Linked DNA regions of Lonchura striata. The protein of the gene in region 2 interacts with the protein of the main gene of each other region in a pairwise test. Links are inferred from orthologs where the notes say so. Each region holds a gene or a part of one and is shown on either strand. Other genes may lie near its edges.

Region 1 (7,272 bases), on a different chromosome or scaffold from region 2:
TAATACAAACTGCGTATGTGCTATGTGTAGATCGATACAGACACTCCCGTGACATGGAAACTTAACAAGTGAAGGACTTCTGCTCATTGTTCGGAAGAGGCATTTAGCTACTGGAAGCTGCAAGACAGGGGAGTAAAAACATGCTAAAAATTTAATACTGCATTTATGAAATGCTTCACACCCAGATCACTTGTGTGTACCAACTCTGTGTATGGAACAATTCTAAGCTGCCGTGTAAGAGAAACAAGGCTTTAATGAAAAAAACTATCTTCTGGATGTGACCTTCTCAGTACTCATACTTACAGTGTAATTTTTTAAGAAGTTGAAAAACACAGCTCAGACAATTACTACTCTGCTTTTTTGCAGGATAGGACAGTGACTCTTCATTTTCACTACTCTACTATTGAGGCCCATGGCTTGTAAAGCACAGCCACTGCTTCAGCTTCCTTAACAAAACCATTTGTGACGATACCAGAAAAAAAAACCCACAGCAATTACTTTATTTAATTTCCCAACTAAGACTAAAAATTCGAACTTCACTTGTTAAATTTGAGTATTCATTTTACCATGTAAATACTCAGACATTTTCAGTCCCTCTTGATGAAGTTCTATATTCAGTGGAGCTCCCACTGAAGTTCTGTCCTCTCTAATGTCCCCCGACAAAGGTGACAGCTGTCTGACCTAACAGCTTACTCGAACATTCCACAGATGTGGAACAAGTACTGACCACATTTTGTAACACATTGTGTTTTCCTGCACTCCTAACTCTCCTCCTTCTTGTACAAAAGACATTACTAGCGCTATCTGAAAAAATAAACCATACCTTTGTAGGTAAAGGGCAGTTAAATAAAATGCTATCCAAAATTGGCTTCTGTTATAGAGTACAATTCTCAGCCACACTAAGTGCCTCTCTGCGAGTACAACCAGCTCTGGATCTGTCACGTACGTATAAAGCTCTCAAAATAAACCTCATCTTTAATCTCCTTGCTATTTGACATGGGAATATTAGGCAATAGGCAAGCTTCCCATATTTAGCATCATTTCACCACAAACTTACTCATACTTGGACCAGACAGCTCAGAGCAACATACTGTGCATGCTTTTGCAAGACATGCACTGTTCAAAAACACCAAGCAGAAGAACTAAGAGATTCCTACTTGCAAAATGACTTAAGTCCTTGACATTTAGAAAGTAACGAGAGACAGACAAGTCCAAATTACTCTACAGAAGTACCTCTCCCCAGAGCTAGAAAAGTATGAGTGTCTAAGATATGATTCTCAGACACTGATTTTATGAGTCTCATGTGTCCCATTGACAGCATCTTCCTAACCCACCAAATTCTCTTCCTCCATCTCAGTCTTGGTGGTTTAGAAGTACCTTGAGAAAAACACCCATGCAGCAGTTTTCAGTGCTGGGCCATAACTGATCCTGTAGAGCTATGACAAGAATGCTTGTGTCTTTTGGCTGTATCTTCCCACTGTGAGGCATTCCAACTTAGATGAGAAGTTCAGGGTGTCTGTGACAAATCAAGCATGTGTCCTGGAGAAGTGATGCTGCACCAGGGAGGGGACTCTGCCAGCTGTACTGCTCTATGTCCCAGCAGCTGCAGGTCTGTGCTCCAGAACAAACCACTGGGCACAAGAGAACCAATGCTGATCACACCTGTTCGCTTGGGAGGAGCTTAGAAACAACATATTCACATGTAAAATTCTGGAAGTGTTTCCCTTCAAATACTGCAAACACACACATTTCAGAAAAGTCTGTGCTGTGCTTCCTCTTGCCTGACCCTGTAGATCCTGATCCAGGGATCCTCCATAACCTGCAGATAAGGCAGGTGAAAACCACTGTGTCAGACCAGTTCCCTGGGCAGCCTGACAAGCTGGGTGAGCTCTGCCGTCTTTAATTACACCTCGCTGAGCCCATGCAACAGTTAAATGAAGCAACCTACAAACTTTGCAAAAGAGCTTGTGCACGGATGCACTTCCCACTTGAGCTTTCTAAGGTATGGAAGAGAACAGAACTATGTTACCACTGCTCCTGTGTGAGCAGCCTTCACACACCTTCCACAACACTCACAGGAGCAGGGAATGGAAAGGAACAGGGAATGGAAGGAGCAGCAACTGGGAACAAGGAGCAATCTCTGAACCAGCCCACTGAGATCAGCATGCAGGAAAGACACTGCATAAGGCTACAAACTGTAATTCACCAAGCCTAAACCTGCCCAAAGCCTACATTTTCATCACTCTTGTTAACACAAAGATGAATAATACATCTTTTATGGCTATCTCAAAAGTTACAAGTTAATCACAAGCAAAAGTTTTAACAGTGTAATACATTTAACCCACCAAACCATGAAAATCATACAATTACAAACCAAGGAAAAACAGCTACAGAACTGGAGATAAAGTTTAAAGACATTTTTAGTTACAAACCCCTTACTACAGGTAAAAACACTTATATGCAATATTTGCTATTTCATTATCTTTATTTGCACACATTAGGAACAAGTTTCTAAGCAACAGTGACAAACTAAGGAACAGTAAGGTGTCATTTTCAAGAGTATTAGCTCCTTTAACTCCAATTACCAAAAACACTGTGCATATTAAAAAAAAAAAGAAAAATTACCCAACAGTAAGAGTGAAAAGGGGAGAACACATCTTAAGATTTCCTAGCTCTAAATCAAGCAAAGCAGCTCTTGGTAACATCTAGAAGGCACCTGTTGCTAAAAGGACTCTCGACACTGTTCTGGGAAAGGCGACATGCACAGGTTACCGACACCTCCCGCGGAACACAATTTAACAGCTCCTGCAAGCCCGGCTTCAAATACTGCGCATAAGGCAATTTAAAGGGCGCTACCTTTCCCCTTGCAGGTTTTACTCCCCGGCAAGCACGCAGACCAGACGCCCTTCCAGGAGTACGGCCCGCTGGAGGCAGATCTGCCCGTCATGGGGCGCGGAGGAGCTCATGGCGTGTCCGCGCAGCACGGGCGGGCTGGGGCCGCGGGCCGGGCGGCGACCGCGCCGAACGCCCCCGCGACGGCCGCGGGGCCCCGCGCCGCGCCCGGATCCGCCGCCCCGGCCGGTGCCGCCGCCCCCGTGCGCGGCCGCGCTCCGGCCCCGCGCCCCAAAATGGTTCCCCGAGCTTCCCCCGGCGCGGCCGGCGCGGGACGGCCCCGCCCCGCCCCGCCCCGCCCGCCACCGCCTCCGGGGGAGGACGCGCCTCGGCCCCGCCCGCGGCCCCGGGAGCCGGCCCCGGGAGCCGCCCGCCCCACGCGGCCCCGCCCCGCACGGCCCCGGGAGCCGGACCGCCCCACACGGCCCCGCCCCACACGGCCCCGGGAGCCGGCCCCGCCCCACACGGCCCCGCCCCACACGGCCCCGGGAGCCGGCCCCGCCCCACACGGCCCCGCCCCACACGGCCCCGGGAGCCGGCCCCGCCCCACACGGCCCCGCCCCACACGGCCCCGGGAGCCGGCCCGCCCCACACGGCCCCGCCCCACACGGCCCCGGGAGCGGCCCCGCCCGCCCCACGGCTCCCCAGGGCCGCCCGCCCGCGGCCCGGCCGTGCCTCACACGTGCGCACGGAGAAAGCCCTCTGCTTCCCCCGAAATAACTCCCCGGCAAAAGCTACAGCTTCCGTTCAAAACTCTTCTAACACATGAAAATCACTTCCTCCTATTTCAAGGATATTCCTCAGATGAGCACTTTTCACTGTGGATCTATAAATTCCTATTCAACAGGAATTTTCTCCATCTGTATAAGTATTGCTCAATGAAGCAAAAGCATAATCTCAAGGAGAAGAGATAACCAACAGAACTAAAACAATGTGGCATATTTGATTATCTACTTGGAGTATTAAAAAAAATTAGAACAGGTAAAAGGATAAAGTTAGAAGCCAAGTCAACACACTTGCGTGAAGCACATGCTTTGCTCAGAAAAGCTTAGACATTATGGAACGCTGATGTAATGATGGTAAGATCATGGAAGTATAAGTTGCAGTGGAGGCAACAGAACAAAACACACTGAGATAAACTGTTGTCACATAAAAAGCAAGGCTATGAAATCTGAGTAAAGATAATTATCTTTAAAGTGCTTTCCTCCTATTTCAAATCCAAGTCCTTTTCAAGAAGACTTGTATCAGCACTGTAATACCTGCAAATAATGCCCAACTGCTATAAAAACAATCTACCCACTCAATACAAGGCTTCCTTCAGTCTCGCCCGAAAACCTGCAATCTACAGCATCCCACCAGGTAAGAGTCAAGGAAGTTTACAAGCAGAACAGAGAAGCTGAATAAAAACTGCATAAAAACAGCTTTTGAGAAGCTAATAGCGCGTTGTGAGGTGCGCGAAACGTGTCCCAGGCTGCCCCCCGTGTGGTCCCCAGAGCCACCCTCCGGCCCCTGGCCACGGTACAGCTGCTGCTGCCCGTGTGCTTTGCTGGCTGCGCAGTGCCCCGGGGACAAAGCCTTTGGGACCCGGACACAGAACCGAAATCCTGTACGAAAAGCAAGGCACAACCAAACCACTGGTTAAAAAGCTCTGCTGGGGCGCAGGCACACAGAAAGTAGTTTGAAGACATTGAAAAAGATTGTGTGCCTCACGTGCCTGGGCATTATTAATGGCAAATAGACTGATACTCTTCCAGCTTCTCACCTTACCAAGGTGTTAGCTCCAGACCCATTCTAAAAATCACATTTGTGCTTCACTGGAATACAAGGTACCTCTGACAAATTCAACTTAGCATCATCCACTTCTCTCATATCAAAAAGCACATCTTCTTTCATATCCTCACCCATATCAAATAGATTAGACTTGAATTTAGCATTTTAGCTAGCTTTTGAAAGGGTAACTGAATATTAGTTTGAGGAAAAAAAATACACAAAAGCTCTCTATAGTCATCTTAATGGTTGGAAGGGAAAAAGTCCCATATAAGAGTAATAAACACAAAAAATTTATCACAATTGTCTGTATGTGATGCAACAACATATATTTTTCTATAACATTTAAAAACCGAGTTCAGGAACTTCCATTTAAAATGCACTCTTAATTCATTATAGCCACCAACAAAGTAATAGAAAATCTTTCATCTTTTTAAACAGTGTAATCATATTTGAATAAGACTTTTTCACACACAGTACTATTAAGAGAGAACAGGATGAAGTTGTGAAAAACACTGACAAGTTACTTTTTTCAAGATGTGACACAAACCAAAGAATGTTAAGACCCAAAATCTAAATGAAAGGCTGAAAATGCTCATTAAACATAATACCTATCAGAGAAAAGCTTGCCAATATTTTTTAAGAAACTAGTATTTTTATTTAATTTCAAAGATATGTTAGGGTGCAAGGTTTTGCCTTTTGCAGTCTATCAGCTCTTGGGAGATGTTAGATCCCAAGGGCCTGGCACGGTTAGGATCAAATGCAGGCCTGGACAGACATGTGCACCTCTGCTCAGACACAGCCTCTGGATCTGCTGGCCTACTTCACAATTTTTAGAACACAGTTCATGACATAAATTATTAATCAACTATATAATACAATTTAATCTCTATCCACTCTGGTTTTGACTAATGAATTAGGATTTTTTTCAATCCTTCCAGACACTCTTTTCTTTGGTGCCCTTAACTATGCTATTTGTTATTTCAAGACACCTCAGGGTTCTCTTTTCCTCCATAACAAGCAAAAGCTAGATCAATCCAATGTAACAGAATATTATAAAACAAGACCAAAATAAATATACAAAACTGAGTCAAGACTCTTGATGATTTCCTTTGCCAAAATGTCATCAGTCCAATTCATCTCTTTTTCATACACAATTAGACCATTTCCTGCTACCTTGTAGTGACCCACTCTGCCTGAAACTGCAGGCAGCTTTTTTCTTGCACCTCAAGACATTCCCTACCAACCCCATTTTCCAACCACCACGAAGGGAAATCCCAACAGATTTATATAACCATGGAATTGTCTTTGTGGCCAGCACTGCAGGGAGCCTCCAGCCCCTGACACCCCACATTTCTGATGTTCTCTCGTGTTCTCTCACGGCCCCCAATGGAGCCATGGCAGTCCCTGTCCAGACCTTCTCCAAGTTCACCACACCCCACATGGCAGATGCAGACACAAACACAGCCATGGAAACACCAACAGCATTGTTCCACCCACCAAATCAGAGTGACCTATTTCTAACTCAGCACAAAACCCAGACTTTGGTCAGGGCTGTTTGATTTCTCCCTCCTCGCCATCACTCACTATTTCTTCTGTGGAGATATGCTGGAATATTCAGCATCAGCCCAGGAGAGGTTTTTCCCTAGCTGCTAAAGATTTTCTTTCCAACAACTTTATAAGGTTAAGATTAGGAAGGAACAGTATCCTGTAGAAGACATACAATAAGCACATCAAAATCAAATCACACTAGTAACCAACTACTATTGACTGAAGTGTTCAATTTTAAATGCAACAAAGAAATTTATCAGTTCCAACAAGTGAATAACCTGTTCTCCAGTCCAACAGAGTTTCAACATCCACCTTTGCACAGAATACTGCATCCCATGCTGCTATGGTACTCCAGCCTTGGGAAGGAAGACAAGCTGAGGAACAAAGCTCTGCAAAAAAACTGATAAATCCCCCAGTTTCATTCAGAAGGAAAACTAAAAGTGTCTGATCAAGAGCCAAAACATGAGTTTGGACCACTCACTCTGTACTCTATAGGTGGAGAATATGCCAGCTTTCCCAACTTACATATAGAATTAAATTTAAAAGTAGATTTCCTTGTAAATTCAGACCCTCCTACAAATCATAAAGCAAAACAGGATGTTTATCTCTTCTGTTTTTTGAGCTTGGAAGGAAAGGAAGGAGGACAGAAAGCAAAAGCTACAGGAAATATCAAAGAAATTCCAGAAAATTTAAGCAATATTAAAAACAACTAATCAAATGCCACCGTGAACAAAGAAAATGTAGTAATATATTAAATAAATTGATATAAGCAACAAAATAAAAATTATTTATATTTGGTAATCTAATGTAATAAAAGAGTTAAGCAACAAACTAGCTAGTGAAACTATATTCAGCTAAACAAAAATACAGGGAAAAAACACTCTTTAAATACAAATCAAAACCAAACACTTGCATTAAAAATATCATGGACCACTTCCACATTGGAATTGAACATATTTTTCCTTTTTAAAAACAAGCAAATGACTTGTCTTGCTGTGACACCGCCAAATCCCACCTAGCAGAAAAACACTGCTCCAAGCTGTATTCTGCACACTCCTGCAC
Region 2 (6,896 bases):
CAAAACCCTTCCCAATTTTCTTTTAAATAAAAGCAATGCATGCCAGAGCTTCAGCATTTCAACATATTTCAAACCATTTTACCCATGTCTTTCCTGCCCATAAGCTTCACTCCCTACTGCTACATTCTGGGATTGGTCCATTTTCTCTCTTCTGATCTAATGCACTGTAGCCCTGCATCATTCAAGAGGTTTTTCAGACTTAAAAACACGGCAGTAATGTACCACATACTAAGAATAAAACTCAACAAACTAAGAAAATCACACAATAAGAAATTCCCACCCAAACTTTTTGACAGTACTTAAACATATTTCTCATTTTGAAACCCCAGACACATACTGTCACTGTAAGGTGACATAAAAACCTCCTGGCTTTTCCCCTTTCTTCTTTATCTATTGTTGAGGAAGAAAGTGACCTAACATTCTGTAAATGCAGGACTGCAGGAAACAAAGCCCATCACCTCTCCTCCTCACCACAGCCTTTCCATGTCCACCAGAATACACGTAAGAGCAATGAATTATATGGCATTTAAACAAAAATAAAGTGGTTTTTTTTTTAATTTTGACTAGTTTATTACCCAAAAGTATGTCACACCAGGACATCAACAGACTTATCAGTGCAGGTGAGAAAAACACTTGGATATATAACTGACTACATACAGCTCAAATGAAACCAAAATAGGCAGATAATGCAGTAACATTTCAACACAAGTCTAAGTACGAAAAAAGTTAATCTAAATGACAGAGGAAGGTATGGTTCAAATTACACTACACACCATATCAGCTAACAGAAACCCTGTGAGCTCCAGCTGCTAAACTGCTTAAATGCTGCCCTCTAAAGGTCTCTGAGACACTTTAGAAAGCATAACTTTCACTTTCTAACTAAGGTTCAAAGAGTCTGAAGAATTTACTTCAGCTTCAGTTCAGCTGAAACCAATGAAATCCCTTCCCACAAAGTGAAGAGACCAAAAGGTCTGTAAACATACAGGCAATTAGAAAAAATTAACCTAAACTCACATTTCCATGATAATCATTAACCCAGGGCAAAAGTTATTAAATAATCATTACAGGAAATATATTTCATGTACCCATTATTTAAAATACACAACCAGAATATTGTAAATCTTGGTCTCAGAACTATTCTGCTCTCTTAAATCTCTATTTTCAGGTTAGATATGCTTCAGACAAGAACTGTAATCTTCATTAAAACTTTTGCATTTTCAAGGCACAATGATAGCAGCTGAAAACTCAGTAATTTTAACTTACCCGTCATGTGGCACTGAAAGATATTGATTATATTGCTACCAGTATAGTATAGATTAGCCAGATATTAATTTATATTAAATCAGATATTCAGACATTGCCATAGTAGGCAATTCCAACTGCTCACAGGCAGGTGAGCAACTCACTTCAATGACAGTGATATAAAACTTCCCTAGTTTCTCTAAAAATTGCACACTGTTACTTAAAACAGGAAAAACAATCATAATTTTCACTTGATTAGGCTCTAACATTATTAATAAAAGGAAAAGGTATCCCTGCATATCCCTGGCCACTAACCAAAACTAAAAGCCATCAACTTATTTGAACAGGTACTAAGAAAAATCACAAGTGTAGAAGACAAAATACTGGAATAAAGCGTATCATTAGTGATGTCCTAACCTCGCAGTTAAAACTGCTAAGAGTTTGGGTATTTTCTGCATAACCAGCTGCCCTCAGGCTTTAAATATGCTTAAGTTTTCCTAATTCGTGCAGGGATTGTTTTCTGTTGGATTTATATATGATGTAACACCCCTTACTTCTGTTCTTCAGCTCACTACTGACCTTGCTCTTCGTAAGGGTCATCTGGGTCATCTGCAACCAGCTCAGCACTGCTCGGTGTCTCATGGTCCTCCTTGGTTGCAAATATTATTCTGTCTTTTCCTGCCATGGAGGAGACAAGAAACAACAGTTCAGAGAAATCTGAGATGGAAAAAGATTTATTTACAAAACTGCTGAACACCACAATGTGACTCACCAATATTGAGAATGAACTGTTGTATTTAACAATTACCTTCAATGACAACAGTTGCTAGTCCAGAGGAACACATACACACTGAAATTCTGTTATTCTAAAGCTCCAATTTTCATAGCAATGTCCTGTAATGAACAGTAGACTCCACTGAACTGCAAATTTAAAAAGCTGTTTCAAAACAAACTCAAATTGCTCCAAGACAAGGACTAAAACAGATGACAGGTTTAGAAGTGGAAAAAAAAACCCTATAATAGCAGTAAAGCATTCAATAGGTACTTATTAATAACAGCACTCTTTGCTAAAGACCAGTATAATATTTTAAACTAATCATATGAATTAAAAACAGAAGACAGCCGTCACCATATAGAGCTAACTACATTGAAAAGTGTTGTGAACGTTACAAGGGATGGAAATGCAACAGAGCAAATTTCCTGCTCTTGATTTAACTAAAACATTCCATAGTGGGGTCGGGGGAGGCTTGGCTGGAAACTTCAGTAGTTTTAGTTTTCTAACAACCTTGCAAAGCTCTAACACACACTCTGAGAGTGGAAAAAATGGTAAACTCCCCAAGAATTCTCCAAATTCATAAAGGCCACTACAGTAACTTGACATATGAGAAATTAGAATCTTCTGGCCCCTCAGTGTGACCTCAGCCAGCAGATGTTCAGTAACTTAACCTTGCTGAGTAACCATGCATTTAAACATATCTGAAAAACAGAAAAATCTAAGACCTTTTAAAAAAATGGTAACAATTTTCTTACAAATCTGCATGGTAAAGTTTGCTGGAGTACAATGTGGAACGTTTGGTCATTTCTTATATAAAAGGAGAGAGAAAACACATGAACTCTAACCCTGTCACTGCAATTTTGTAGGGTTGCATAAAGCAACTTACAGATATTGCAAAACTAAACAAAGCACAGCATAAAGCATAAAAGAGGTCCATAAGTTATGACCACCTCGATACAGTTTATAGTCTGTGGCCAAGTTTGTAACTTACGAATGGCATTTAGAACTATTGGTGCTTTTTTCCTCATCCTGAAACTTTACATTCAGCCACTTGGCATTACTTAGGAGAGCAAGGATTTTTATTTATATATAAGTAGATATAGATACTTATCTACGCATCTCCCACTTTAAGAAGTGGTTAAACACCACCACCTGTACAACACGATACAGAATCGCTCGCACTACACCCACCCTGCCCATCGACCTTAAAAAGGCAAAACCCCACAGCTCTGGCCGCTCAGCCAGGCTGGGATAAATGTAACCCCGGCGGGCAGCAGGCGCCCCGCGGCCGGGAGCCGCCCTGAGGCCACACGCGGTCTCGGCGGGCACCTCCGGCCGCTGCGGGGCCTCACCGTGCCCTCACCGTACCCCCACCGTGCCCTCACCGTGCCCTCACCGCGCCCACACGGCCGGGACCGCGCTGCCGCCCCACGGCCCCGCCGCCCTCCGTGAGGAGAAAGGTCGGCGGCGGGAGGCGAGGCGCTGCCGCCGCTACACGCGGACCGCGGGCGGCCGCCGCGCCTCCTCTCCCCTCCGGCTGCGCCTTCCCCTGGCGGGCTGCGGGCAGCGGACGGTCCCCCCGCGGCGCACCCACCCCCGGCGGGGTGACATTGGGAGGACGCTCGGGCGCACCTTCCTGCCTGCAGTAGGACATGGCGGAGCCGGCCGGTGCCTTCCTCCGCAGCGCGCCGCACGCGGGCCCCGCCGCTCCGCTCCTGCCGTCCCGCCGGCACCGCTCGGGCAGCGCCGCGCCGCCGCTCCACGCCGCGACCTCCCGCCTCCGGAAGCGCCTTCCCGGCCCCGCGGCGGCCGTGACGCACCTCCTGCGGCCGCGGGGCTCCGCCTGCCCCGCGGCCGCAGGGCGGAGAGAGAGGGAGGCGGGAAGGGAAGGAGGAAGGAGGGGCGGGAGCGGCTGAGGGCGCGGCTGGCGGTGCGCGGCTCCGGCGGCCCCTGAGCTGTGGTTCCCGGGGGGCGTGAGAGGCTCAGGATGTCGAGGAACGTAAGTGCTGCTCGCTCCGGCCCGTTCGCCCCCGGTGTGCCAGGGCTGCGGCCACGGCCCGGTGCCGTCTTTAGATGAGAGGGAAGATGTGTGCTAATGTCTTTGCAAATAATTCCATGGCTGAAAGTATGGGTGTTAATGCCTTTGAAATGGGTCTTCGCGTCGCTACTGACTTTGGGCAGCAGGCTGGTTGCCGAGCTGAGGCGGCTTGGCTCCTGACACAGGAAGGGGATCTGCACAAGCCTGAGTTTGTGAACTTTGGGCAGCAGGTTTGTTACAGAGCCCACACAGCCTAACTCGTGGAACAGAAAGTGGGTCTCCACAGACCTGAACTTCTGAACCTTGAGGTAAAACAGTGGGTTCAAGGAGGGGGATATGTGGAAGCCGGTTCGGGAAGGTTCTGTCCACCTTCCGAGGAGCCGATGGGGAAAGGAAGAGGCAGCGAGCAGCCAGGAGTTTAGGATGAAAGGAGGCTGCACCCCCCGAAACCTCGAGAAAACTCCGCGGCTGTGTGCCCCATTGGACTCTATTGGACTGCCTTTATTCGAATAAAGTTACAGGAGTTCTCTTTCTCCTTTATGGCCACTGGCTTTTCGTAGTGTGTTTTTCCATACAGAGAAGTTCCGTGCCCTGCTTTGGCTGTGTGAGTGTGCTGCAGTGGGATTTGGTAGCTCCTCACAAGCTGCGTGTGCACAGAAAAACCCCTGGGCTCTCATGTTAGTCCTGTGCCTTGTTTTGAGTTATTGTTAACCTGGATATAATTATTTTAGAGTGTGCAGGCACACTTTTTACTGGTGAGGTGAATCATAATTTGTTATTTATAGCAGTGTTTTAGCTGGTCAGGAATTTAGGGCTATTACTCAATTTGTCATGGCATGAATGTAGGGCGTGGACTCCAAATACAGAACCTGGAGGCAGACCGAAGACAGCTTGAACATGTAGAACCACTATAATAGAAATTGCGGTTTTTTTCTACCAGGATGGAGTCTTATTTATCGAATGTGTTTCTGGTATTAAAAGCGTGCTAAGGCATTTTATAAGTGTCGGCAAGTTTTGGTCCAAGGCAAGAGGTTCTCTGTAGTGCAGCAGTGCTAACAAAGCTAGCAGACTTGTTTTGAAACGGAATGCTTTCCCCTTTCACACCAATATGGCACTTTTGTTTATTTTCAGCAGTTCTCTGACACAGGCAGCAGAAAAGAGCATGTTAAAATCACAAGTGAGCGCAAACCAGGGTTCCTGGAGCGACTCAGTGAGACTTCTGGAGGCATGTTGATTGGACTTGTGACATTTCTTCTGGCTTTCTACCTTCTTTTTACCAATGAAGTAAGTGCAATACTGTCAGTGTTTGTACACAGCATTAATTGATCTTTGAGAAGAGGAGATTTTGTCTGGGGACCTTGTGTATATGCTTGGGATGTAACAGAAAAGTGAAATCACAGGCCACAGGTAGTATTTCTCTGAAAATAGGTATGGTAGAGACAGTAGCAGTGTGTGATGAGAAATAACATCCAAAGCTTGTAAACTGGTGATGAAACAGCCTGTGGTAAGAGGGTTGTGTGAGCCCGCCCTCTTTTTTCTTGAGATAACAAAAGGTCCTAATTTCTAGTGGTGTTATAATTACTTTAAAGAAATTCATACCCCATGTTGCAAAATTAGAGGAGTTCTCAGAAATAATACAGAGTTTCTCAGTATTATTTCTTGGTTTGAGGTTTTAAAAAAAAAAAAGTCATCCAGGAATCTTAACACCCTACCATTGAAAACATACTTGTTTTGGCAATTTTGGAGTGGAGATCAGAATTCTGTGGGTTTTCATGTAGAGACTTCTTTTCATACCTCTACAAGAGGAATAATAACTGCTTCAAATTTTGATGACTTTGCAGAAAAAAAGCCCATCAGGATATGATGATAAGCAGGGAAAACTTCTGCCAAGGAGTCAATATAGGTGTGTAGAAAATGAACTATAATTTATATCATTTTTGCAGTTACTGAGGAATGATGAACAAGGTAAGAAGTGCAGAGCAGTAAGTTTAGACCTGTGTAGGAAGAATTTGAGTCTGTTTGAGAAGCTTAGTCAATGTTAATGGTCCCACTGCCTGAGTGAGAAGTACTGCCCCAAACTGGCTCAGACAGAGAATAGAGAAGTACAAGTGTGTTTGAAAAATATGCCTTGGGCTGAATATACAAGGATTCCTTGTGGTCATCAGTTCTTGTGATGCTGCTAATCTTGTTCACAAAATGCTGCTGTGACATTGATTCTCCACAACTTGATTTCTCTTTTCTTCATTGCAGGGACGAGCTTTAAGGACAGCCAAGTCTCTCGATGAGGGGCTTTCTCTTGTGGTCCCTCTTGACAGCATCCTCAGTATCTCTCAGCAGAATGAGGGGAGACTGGTGCACTTGGCTGGAGCTCTGAGTACATCTAAGGTAAATAAAATAGTATCTTGAAGATATGAGTATTTCAAGCTTGGAGGGAAGGAAAAGTCTTTGCCATTCAAAGTTTTGTTTGATATCCAGGAAAAGACACATGGCTTTTCTCCTCCTCTATGCATTGGTAGCTACCACTCAAGCTCTGGTTCTTGGGCTGGAACCAGGGAGATGCTGAATGGCCTTGCACTCCCTTCTTCAAGCCAATGCCAGCTCTAGCTGTGTTTACCCTCAAGCTGCCTTTTATGGATAATTTCAATTGCCATTTTTGTAGGGAACCTGTTGTGTGTTCATGATATTGTTAAGTGTTCAGGGTCTTGCAGCACAGGAGCTCTGCAATTTTTTACTTTTCAGTAATGGTGACATTTTCCATGGTCCACTCACATTGCAGAAGGTAACACAGCACCTTCCAGCAAAACAGAATCTCCTGGTTTAAACACTGAAACCTGTAAACCC
Region 3 (7,540 bases), on a different chromosome or scaffold from region 2:
TAGCAATTCTACATATCTGCCTGTAGCATCTCACATACTCAACACAGCATTCATATAAATTCAAGCAGAAACAGGCACAACTGAAAACTCACTACATACAAACTGAATGTATCTCACTATTGCAAATAAAGCACAGACTAGAACAGATTAAATCTCAGTTCAAGAGGAAAACCAAGAAATCTAAGATCAGAAAAAGGAACAGAATATTGGAAACTAGATATAAAACTTACCTAAAAATGTCCAAGCTGATTTTAGAGTGACCAACATGTGACTCATATTTCTTTCTCTATTTGTGGAAAGGTGCACTTTTCACATGTCCAGTTAAGAGGAAAAAAAATATTAATTTCTGAATAGACTTTGTTCAAGCAGGAAAAAAAATGACACAGTCCTAACTATGAAAGACAATGTGGGGTCCAAATCAGAGCATCTGATTCTGCATATACCTCAGAAAACGAAAATTATGAGAGCTAAACCCATAAAGCAAGAACTCAGCTCCCCATTATTCTAGGGATCATAACAGACTAATTATGCAATCCAATTTAAAGGCCAGTAAATTTTGAGACTCAAAACAAACTGATAAAATGACCAGTCATTGATTCCCCCACTCCTTACGAAAAAATCTACAAGCTTTTGTGGCCACATTCCAGCCAAGATGTAAGCTTGCATAAGATTGTACATAACATTCACAGCCACCTCAAGTCACTAGTATGACCTTCAGCCGTAAGTTCAGCAGCTGGTTTAATGCTCATTTGGTTCATTCCTGGATGGTAATAAAAATGAATGTTTTGTTCAAAATATGCTTCCTGACGTCATACAAACTCTGTCTAACAGCATCTCCCTGTATCATCACTTCAACTTGAAATATTTAGGCAGCTTCTTAGCAGTCACCTATCACAAGGCACAAAGTCCTTCCTAGCATAAATGAACCCTCTTGCTCTGAATACTCAGATTTCACCACATTATTCTTCCTATTCCATAACATGAGACCATTAATAAAGGCAAAAGTACTTAAAATGTGTGTAACACAACTGGCATTGTTAACGTATTTCTGAATATCCCTGTCATCAGAACAAATACTCCAGTGACTGAGAAAGCAAAAATAATCTACCATTTCTTTTCCTGAAGTAATTAACTTTATTTTAATGGAAAAACCCAAACAAACAAACAAACAAACAAAAACCCCACAGTAGTAATGAGAAAAAAGAAAAGTGTACATTTTTCCAGACCTTTAATTTCTAACCTTTAAGTGACAATTGCTGCAGACTGAAAATAAAATTGCATGAAGTTCAAGGACACCAGCCACATTTCTTCCCTCTCTGCTTGCCTATCAGAAATAATTGCAACAGTTCTAGACTCCATAAGATACAGTCTAGCAGATAAGTGATAACAGAGTGTCAGTAACAAAGGTCAGAACTAAAGGGCATAGTTTGATAATTGAGAAAAATAAGGATACATTTGGCCAAATATAAATATGGAATTTAAGAAAAGTAGGTTAAAGTAAGAGAAACTGAAGAAATGAAGGGGGAAAGTTGTTTTCATTGTATGAGACAGCAAGAGACAGAGCAAAAAATTTTACTCAAGCTTACAAGCTACTGAGCTACCAGTTTCTTCAGAACATGAAGAACAATTCTCTGGGGACAAGTCCATGTACAGCAGATAGCCTCACCATCAGGAGTATCAACTTCTTCCCACACCTGATCCATCACATCAGAAAGAGAAAAGATACTGGTGTCTGTTAACTACTGCTAAGAAGTCTGAAGTGAGCAGCTACAAAAAATCCTGTATCTGCCCCACATCTCTATTGATGACATTTCTGTGGGTATCTAGACCTCCCCTGAAAATATTTATGCGTATCAGAAAGACATGGAGTGCTAACTGCTTTTAAATTTGCCTAGTGGTTATAAACTACATGGTTTTCATATCCTTGCATCAAAATAGAGCAATCCCAAAGATTATAATACATCTTAGATCCACACAGAATAAAAATTGCATGAATCCAAGTCTTATAATTTATACAGACACCATCAGGTCAGCCCTTCTGGCCTCCTAACTACAACTATCTACTATTTTTCAGCCCTAAAACAATCTCCAAAACAGCTCAAGATCACAGTTGTGCAGACACCCTAGAAATCCATAGCAAACTCAGTTTGTGTGGGCCTGATAATAAGGAGAGAAAATCATCTCTTGAGCATAAGGTGACAGCATGACCATCACTGTACCTTTCTGTTCCCACTAGAAATGCATCTTGTAGGCCTACTCCTCTTCTTTTCATCAATCCAGGGAGCTACTGCTGCAACATACAAGACAGATAAGACCTCTTAATAAGCAAGAGCCATGAGAGTCTCAGGGCGCTGTCACACAAATCTGTTTTTCTTCACATAGCCATATATAACACTGATTATCACTGCAACAAAGCTCCTGAGGTGGAATTGTCAGTGTTAGATTTATGGATGGACTTGATTCACATGATTCTGTGCTTCTATGTCAGACCTGAGCTGACCTAAACTAGTTCAGTAACACCAGCTGTAGGCAGGAGCATTAACTCCCCAGCCTAGTCCTTGACCTGGTTAGCATTGCAGTAGCATGGCAAACCTAGAAGCCCTTCAGTACAGGCATATGCAAGTAGCCATATAATTGCAGGCTGAAAAGCCTTACATACTTACATACACTTATCACTTACTATTGTGGTATAGGATGGAAAAAAAGTAGTTTACAAGCAGGCACAGTAGCCTGTACAAAACTGCAAAACTTGACTGTTTTGTAGAACAGCAAAGATGCATAAAATTGGAGGAAGGAATCATGCCATAGTTTTTCCTTGCCAAGAATGTTCCTGCAATTACTCATTTAGGGAAAAATTCAATTGCCCTCTCACTGTACCTGCTCTTTAACATAGAGAAAGAACATAGTTGCCATTCTGATTCTTAATGAAGGGGTTTCATTACATTTTAATGTACAAATAGACTGCTTTCAAAGATAAATAAGTCATATTGATGGTTTACAAGCTCACTACATCACATGTGTTTTCTGAACAGTTTTAAGAATGTTTCTTTCTTTTAAAAGAATAGACTTCCTATCCTAAGTGAATAGATATGAACAACACAACAGAGCCAAAGCAAATTCTTCTTGTGATTAGAGAAAGAAAAAGCTTTTGATTTGTTGAAGGTTGTACCACTTGTTTTATGGAAGAGTAATAATGTAGAGAGACTTTGCCTAGTTAAGAAGCCCTGTGTTTACAGCCTATGATCACACAGGATCAAGTGCAGAATAACAAAAAGGCCTATTTAGGAGAAAATCAAACATTTACAGCATAGTGACTCAAAGAGGCATTAATTCAGAATCCAAGTAGCTTAAATACAGCACAAGTACAGGTTTTATGGGGAATACTTAAAGACGATGAAAAGCTTTTTTTTTTTTTTTTCTTTTTTATTAAGTCTTCTCCCATTTATTTGGAATTTTTGCTTCCAAGAAAGCAGCTGTTTAATTTTTAACTTTCATAGCTATTATGTAAATCCTGTATTTCAATAGTTACTGTTTCACACATTTATAGATTTCATTACAATTTGCTTAACTGATCACAAGCAAATTTTGTATTTAAAAAAGTCTAGGTATTTAGCTATGAAAGAAACCACAAACAAAAGACATTTTAAAAGAGAAAAATACATCAGTTTGCTTAGATGTCTTTGCATTTACAAATAAAACCTGTGAATAGTCAAAATGAATTTGTGCTGTTTCACAGGGTTTTTGTAGATGCTGAGAACAGAAAGAGTGTATTTTGGGTCAGTCTTATAGAGAAATCTTCATTACTGTGCAGGTCCAAGATGAAGTTTAACAGAATTTGTAAATGCTTTGGATGTTATATCAGCACTATAAGAGGATTTGCAATATAAAGAAAGATTTCTGATTATTTCACTCACTAACATAATCATTATAGTAATCTTCAACAAACAGAAAACCATGCGAATTTGTAGTTAATATTTGCCATTTTATGGAAAAACTCGTTAGACCAACTGGTTTTGTCCTGTTTGGGTTCCTGTGCATTGAGAATTAAAACACGACCTGTATTTAAACTGAACTGCAATGATTTGACTTTTACAGCAGCTACATGCACACATGTGGATGAACTTGTCACTGGAGAAGCGCAATATAATAATTTTAGCATGTTCACAACAGGTGCATATAGTCACTTCTTAAACATATACAAATTTCTTATTTAAACTTGCATGCTTAGATAGATCACAAAGTGTAATTTATGACAAAAAATGTTTTAGTTTTAGGTACAAACCTGAAACCAAAACATCATTTGAAACAGAGTTCTTGTTTTACACTCCTCAATTAATCCAAACAAGTTCTTGTTATGTATAATGAAATTTCAATTACACAGTTCACCTAGATTTTATATGACTGTTGTTCTCAAGTAAACTTCTGAAGTGCTGCAGATAAAAAAGAAAACTCCCTTATGATGTCAGAACACTACGTTACTCATTAACTGATTTTTAAACCCAGTTTGAGCTGGAGTCACACCAAGACAGCACTTCCTACAGCAGAGAAAGGCTGTGTTTTTCACAGATCACTCTAGAATTGAACTTACCTAAGTCTGCAGTTAGCTCCATTAAAATGCTGAAAAAAGGAAGCTCCTTGGAGGACTCCGTTTTCCTTTCTGAAAGTCAGAACAGCTTCCGAAAATCAAGTATTGACACCCCAGCCAGTCCTACGGAGAGTGTTGGATCAGTATTTTTAAGGTAAAACCCAATATATTTGAGTGTTTTTCATGTACTTGATTATGGGGGGAACAGGGCAGCAACAGAGGAGTGCACTGGGACAAGTATACTCATGAAAATACCTAGATAAGGTATTTAATATAAAAAGGAAATGCACACAGAGATGGTAATTTCATGTATATTACTGATTGCACTGGGAAGGGGAGCACTCCTGTAAAGGAGAAACTTGTGATGGAAGGCAGAAAGGTATTGTTCTCTTCTCCCTTATCTATTCACACTGAAATAGGGCTTTGAATGTTTATAACACTATACACTAACAAAACTCAAGTTTTAAAGTGACATTTATGGGGTCACCCAAATATCTATAATATTTTATTTCTGTACAAAACAAATGTAAACTTTGTTAGATCAGGGAGTTTAACAAAATATTTTCATATGTGTTTTGGCCTAAAGGAACTTCATAATGTTTATTAAACTAATTTTCAAGGTAAGTGCCACCTTACTCACTAGAAATATTCAAGGAAGTAGAAAACTTTCTAAATTAATACTAGTAAATGGTTTCCTGATAGAACATTGCAAAAAAAAAAAAAAAAATAGGGGAAAATCTGTTTTCTTACTTTGGAAGGGTGGACTTTTTGAATTGCAAATTCCCTCTATGGTGGAATTCATTGCAACACAGAGTTCTGGAGAAATCATGCACATTTTAGCACAAAAAATGAGGGAAGGCAATGTCAGAGGGCTACTGGCACTTAGTGCTTATCCTTCATCTACTGCAGGAGCAAGACAAGCAAACATCCACAGTACTTCTGTCAACCCATCATGAATAAAATAGCTTAAAAAGCTATTCAAAATATCGTTAGACATTTATTGGTTCTTAATCTGCTTGAAAATTCTTTGCCAAGGGCTGGTACTTAATTGTTGCATGGTGCCAAACAACCCTGAAGAGTGATTTGGAACCTCTACATAGTCTTTGTGTGGCTGAATTACGTTTCTTTGTGGCTGTGCACAAATTCTTTATATGGGATGACAAATCTTATCACTAATTGGGTCACTACTATAAAGGAGACTGTTGGCCTAGTTTTTCTCTTTTGAAATATTATTAGGGATTTTTAATATTATATATGCATAGCATCCTTTCTTCCAACTCAAATGACAGAGAGATAATGTCCAACAGTTTGAACAGATAATAGAGAATCGGAAATTTTAAGTTTTAATTAGAGATTTCAAAGACTCTTATCTAGAAATAATCACTTCAAACTTGTTTTAAAAAAAAACAATTTCACATGACTTTTCATATGCCTCTTGATCTCATTTTGCAATTAGGTGTGGGACATAAGTATATACAGTGATATTTGGCATTAAAAATCACAAGTTGGTGATTTTTAACCACTTCCTAATTTGGACAATATAAATTTTTCCTCCTTTCTATGCCCTGTCCAGAACACTGAGCAGACAGATCTACCTACTTTTTTATTTACCACTAAATAACCAGTACACAAAAAGTTGCCATATATGCCCTGGGGGCAGTGTGATCAGGCCTTACAAAGAACAGTCCTTTACCCCCAATTTCTCAATAATCAACCTGCCTGCCAAGTATCCAGTGGTAGGAGCAGGCCTTCTAGAAAGCCAGTTTACAGTTTGCTGGTTCGGTAAGGATAATATGATCATAAAACCCTGTTGTGAAACCAAACCTCTCTCAATAGCAAAGATGGAGTAGCAGGCTGCAAATATTAGACAATCTAATAAGGAGGATGCACAATAGCACACAATAAGCTAGACAGACTAAGCTCTCACTAAACTTGCTTTTCATGTGTTTGTCACAGTCATGATACATTTATTGAAAATGAGCCCCATTAAAAATCATGGAAAATGCTTTTGCAAAAAGTAAATGCAGGATCTGCATTTTTAGGTACTATTTTCATACAGTCTTATTTATTTGGAGCATATTTTCTATATATGAAGATTTACCCACAGAGAAAATTTACTATATTAATGATCCTTCTTGTTTATTCTAATTATTCATGCCTGAGGAGAAAAACTGACTATATGCCTAAGTTTTTACATACTTCTGTTTTCACCTCACTGTAATTGGCACGTGGATGAGTAGGAATTTAGCAGAAATCAGGGAGTTATTAACACTTCATAAAGGGGAAAGCTTATCATTATGGCAGCATGTTATTCCTGACATAGAGCAAAACTGATTTCAAAAGGAAATTAAGACTCTGGAGCTAAAGCTGAGGTGTCAGCCATATATTATCAATCAGAAATTTGTATTTATAAAAGTACTGGCCACATGTTTTGCAGCATTTTTTCAGCATGAATGTACAGAGTTGTTCTGACATCAGAACAAAATATGGGCAAAAATACCAGGGATTTCAAGCTCCCATCTGGAGCCCATCCCTATGATATGAGTCAATACTTGTATCCAGTTCTCCTAAAATTTAGAAAACTCTTAAGGCTTTTGATTTTGAATAATCTCCTGAGTGACCCTAAAAAAAAAAACAAAAACCCCAAACATATTGAACACAAGAAAATTTGTTTTTTAGACCAGCAATTTAGACCACCAATTCTGTGCAGTCATAATGCTACGTATGTTTAGGCCAATCTTAGCAATAATTGCATTGCAGGTAATATATTAAATGATTTTTAAAAATCAGCATTTGGCAGTAACATTGATATTAGGTGAAAGTTACAAATAATTTTTTTTTAAGTACAGAACAATGTTTTTAAAATTACAGAACATAGAGAGGTTTGTTTTCTAAATATCTCATCAAAATGGAAATCAAAAGGGTTCTTGACTCCAGTCCGGACCTGGCAGCTCA

Evidence for each region.
Region 1: the proteins of TMEM43 (region 2) and SIAH1 interact in binary tests that used the Homo sapiens proteins (3 or more experiments, as listed by UniProt). The two-hybrid records come from large-scale screens. The link is inferred for Lonchura striata from reciprocal best matches to the Homo sapiens genes TMEM43 and SIAH1.
Region 3: the proteins of TMEM43 (region 2) and GRAMD2B interact in binary tests that used the Homo sapiens proteins (3 or more experiments, as listed by UniProt). The two-hybrid records come from large-scale screens. The link is inferred for Lonchura striata from reciprocal best matches to the Homo sapiens genes TMEM43 and GRAMD2B.

Annotation. Positions count from the first base shown.
Region 1 is NC_134615.1:10,448,286-10,455,557, forward strand, and holds the start of SIAH1 (E3 ubiquitin-protein ligase SIAH1), read right to left. Parts: upstream 3,001-7,272; 5' UTR 2,948-3,000; coding exon 2,857-2,947; intron 1-2,856. UniProt on the Homo sapiens protein: E3 ubiquitin-protein ligase that mediates ubiquitination and subsequent proteasomal degradation of target proteins.
Region 2 is NC_134614.1:14,600,848-14,607,743, forward strand, and holds the start of TMEM43 (transmembrane protein 43), read left to right. Parts: upstream 1-3,876; 5' UTR 3,877-4,004; coding exon 4,005-4,016; intron 4,017-5,186; coding exon 5,187-5,339; intron 5,340-6,305; coding exon 6,306-6,440; intron 6,441-6,896. Other genes in the region: CHCHD4 (mitochondrial intermembrane space import and assembly protein 40), read right to left, coding at 1,822-1,920, 3,650-3,671. UniProt on the Homo sapiens protein: May have an important role in maintaining nuclear envelope structure by organizing protein complexes at the inner nuclear membrane. Required for retaining emerin at the inner nuclear membrane.
Region 3 is NC_134642.1:60,727,047-60,734,586, reverse strand, and holds the start of GRAMD2B (GRAM domain-containing protein 2B), read left to right. Parts: upstream 1-4,540; 5' UTR 4,541-4,614; coding exon 4,615-4,739; intron 4,740-7,540.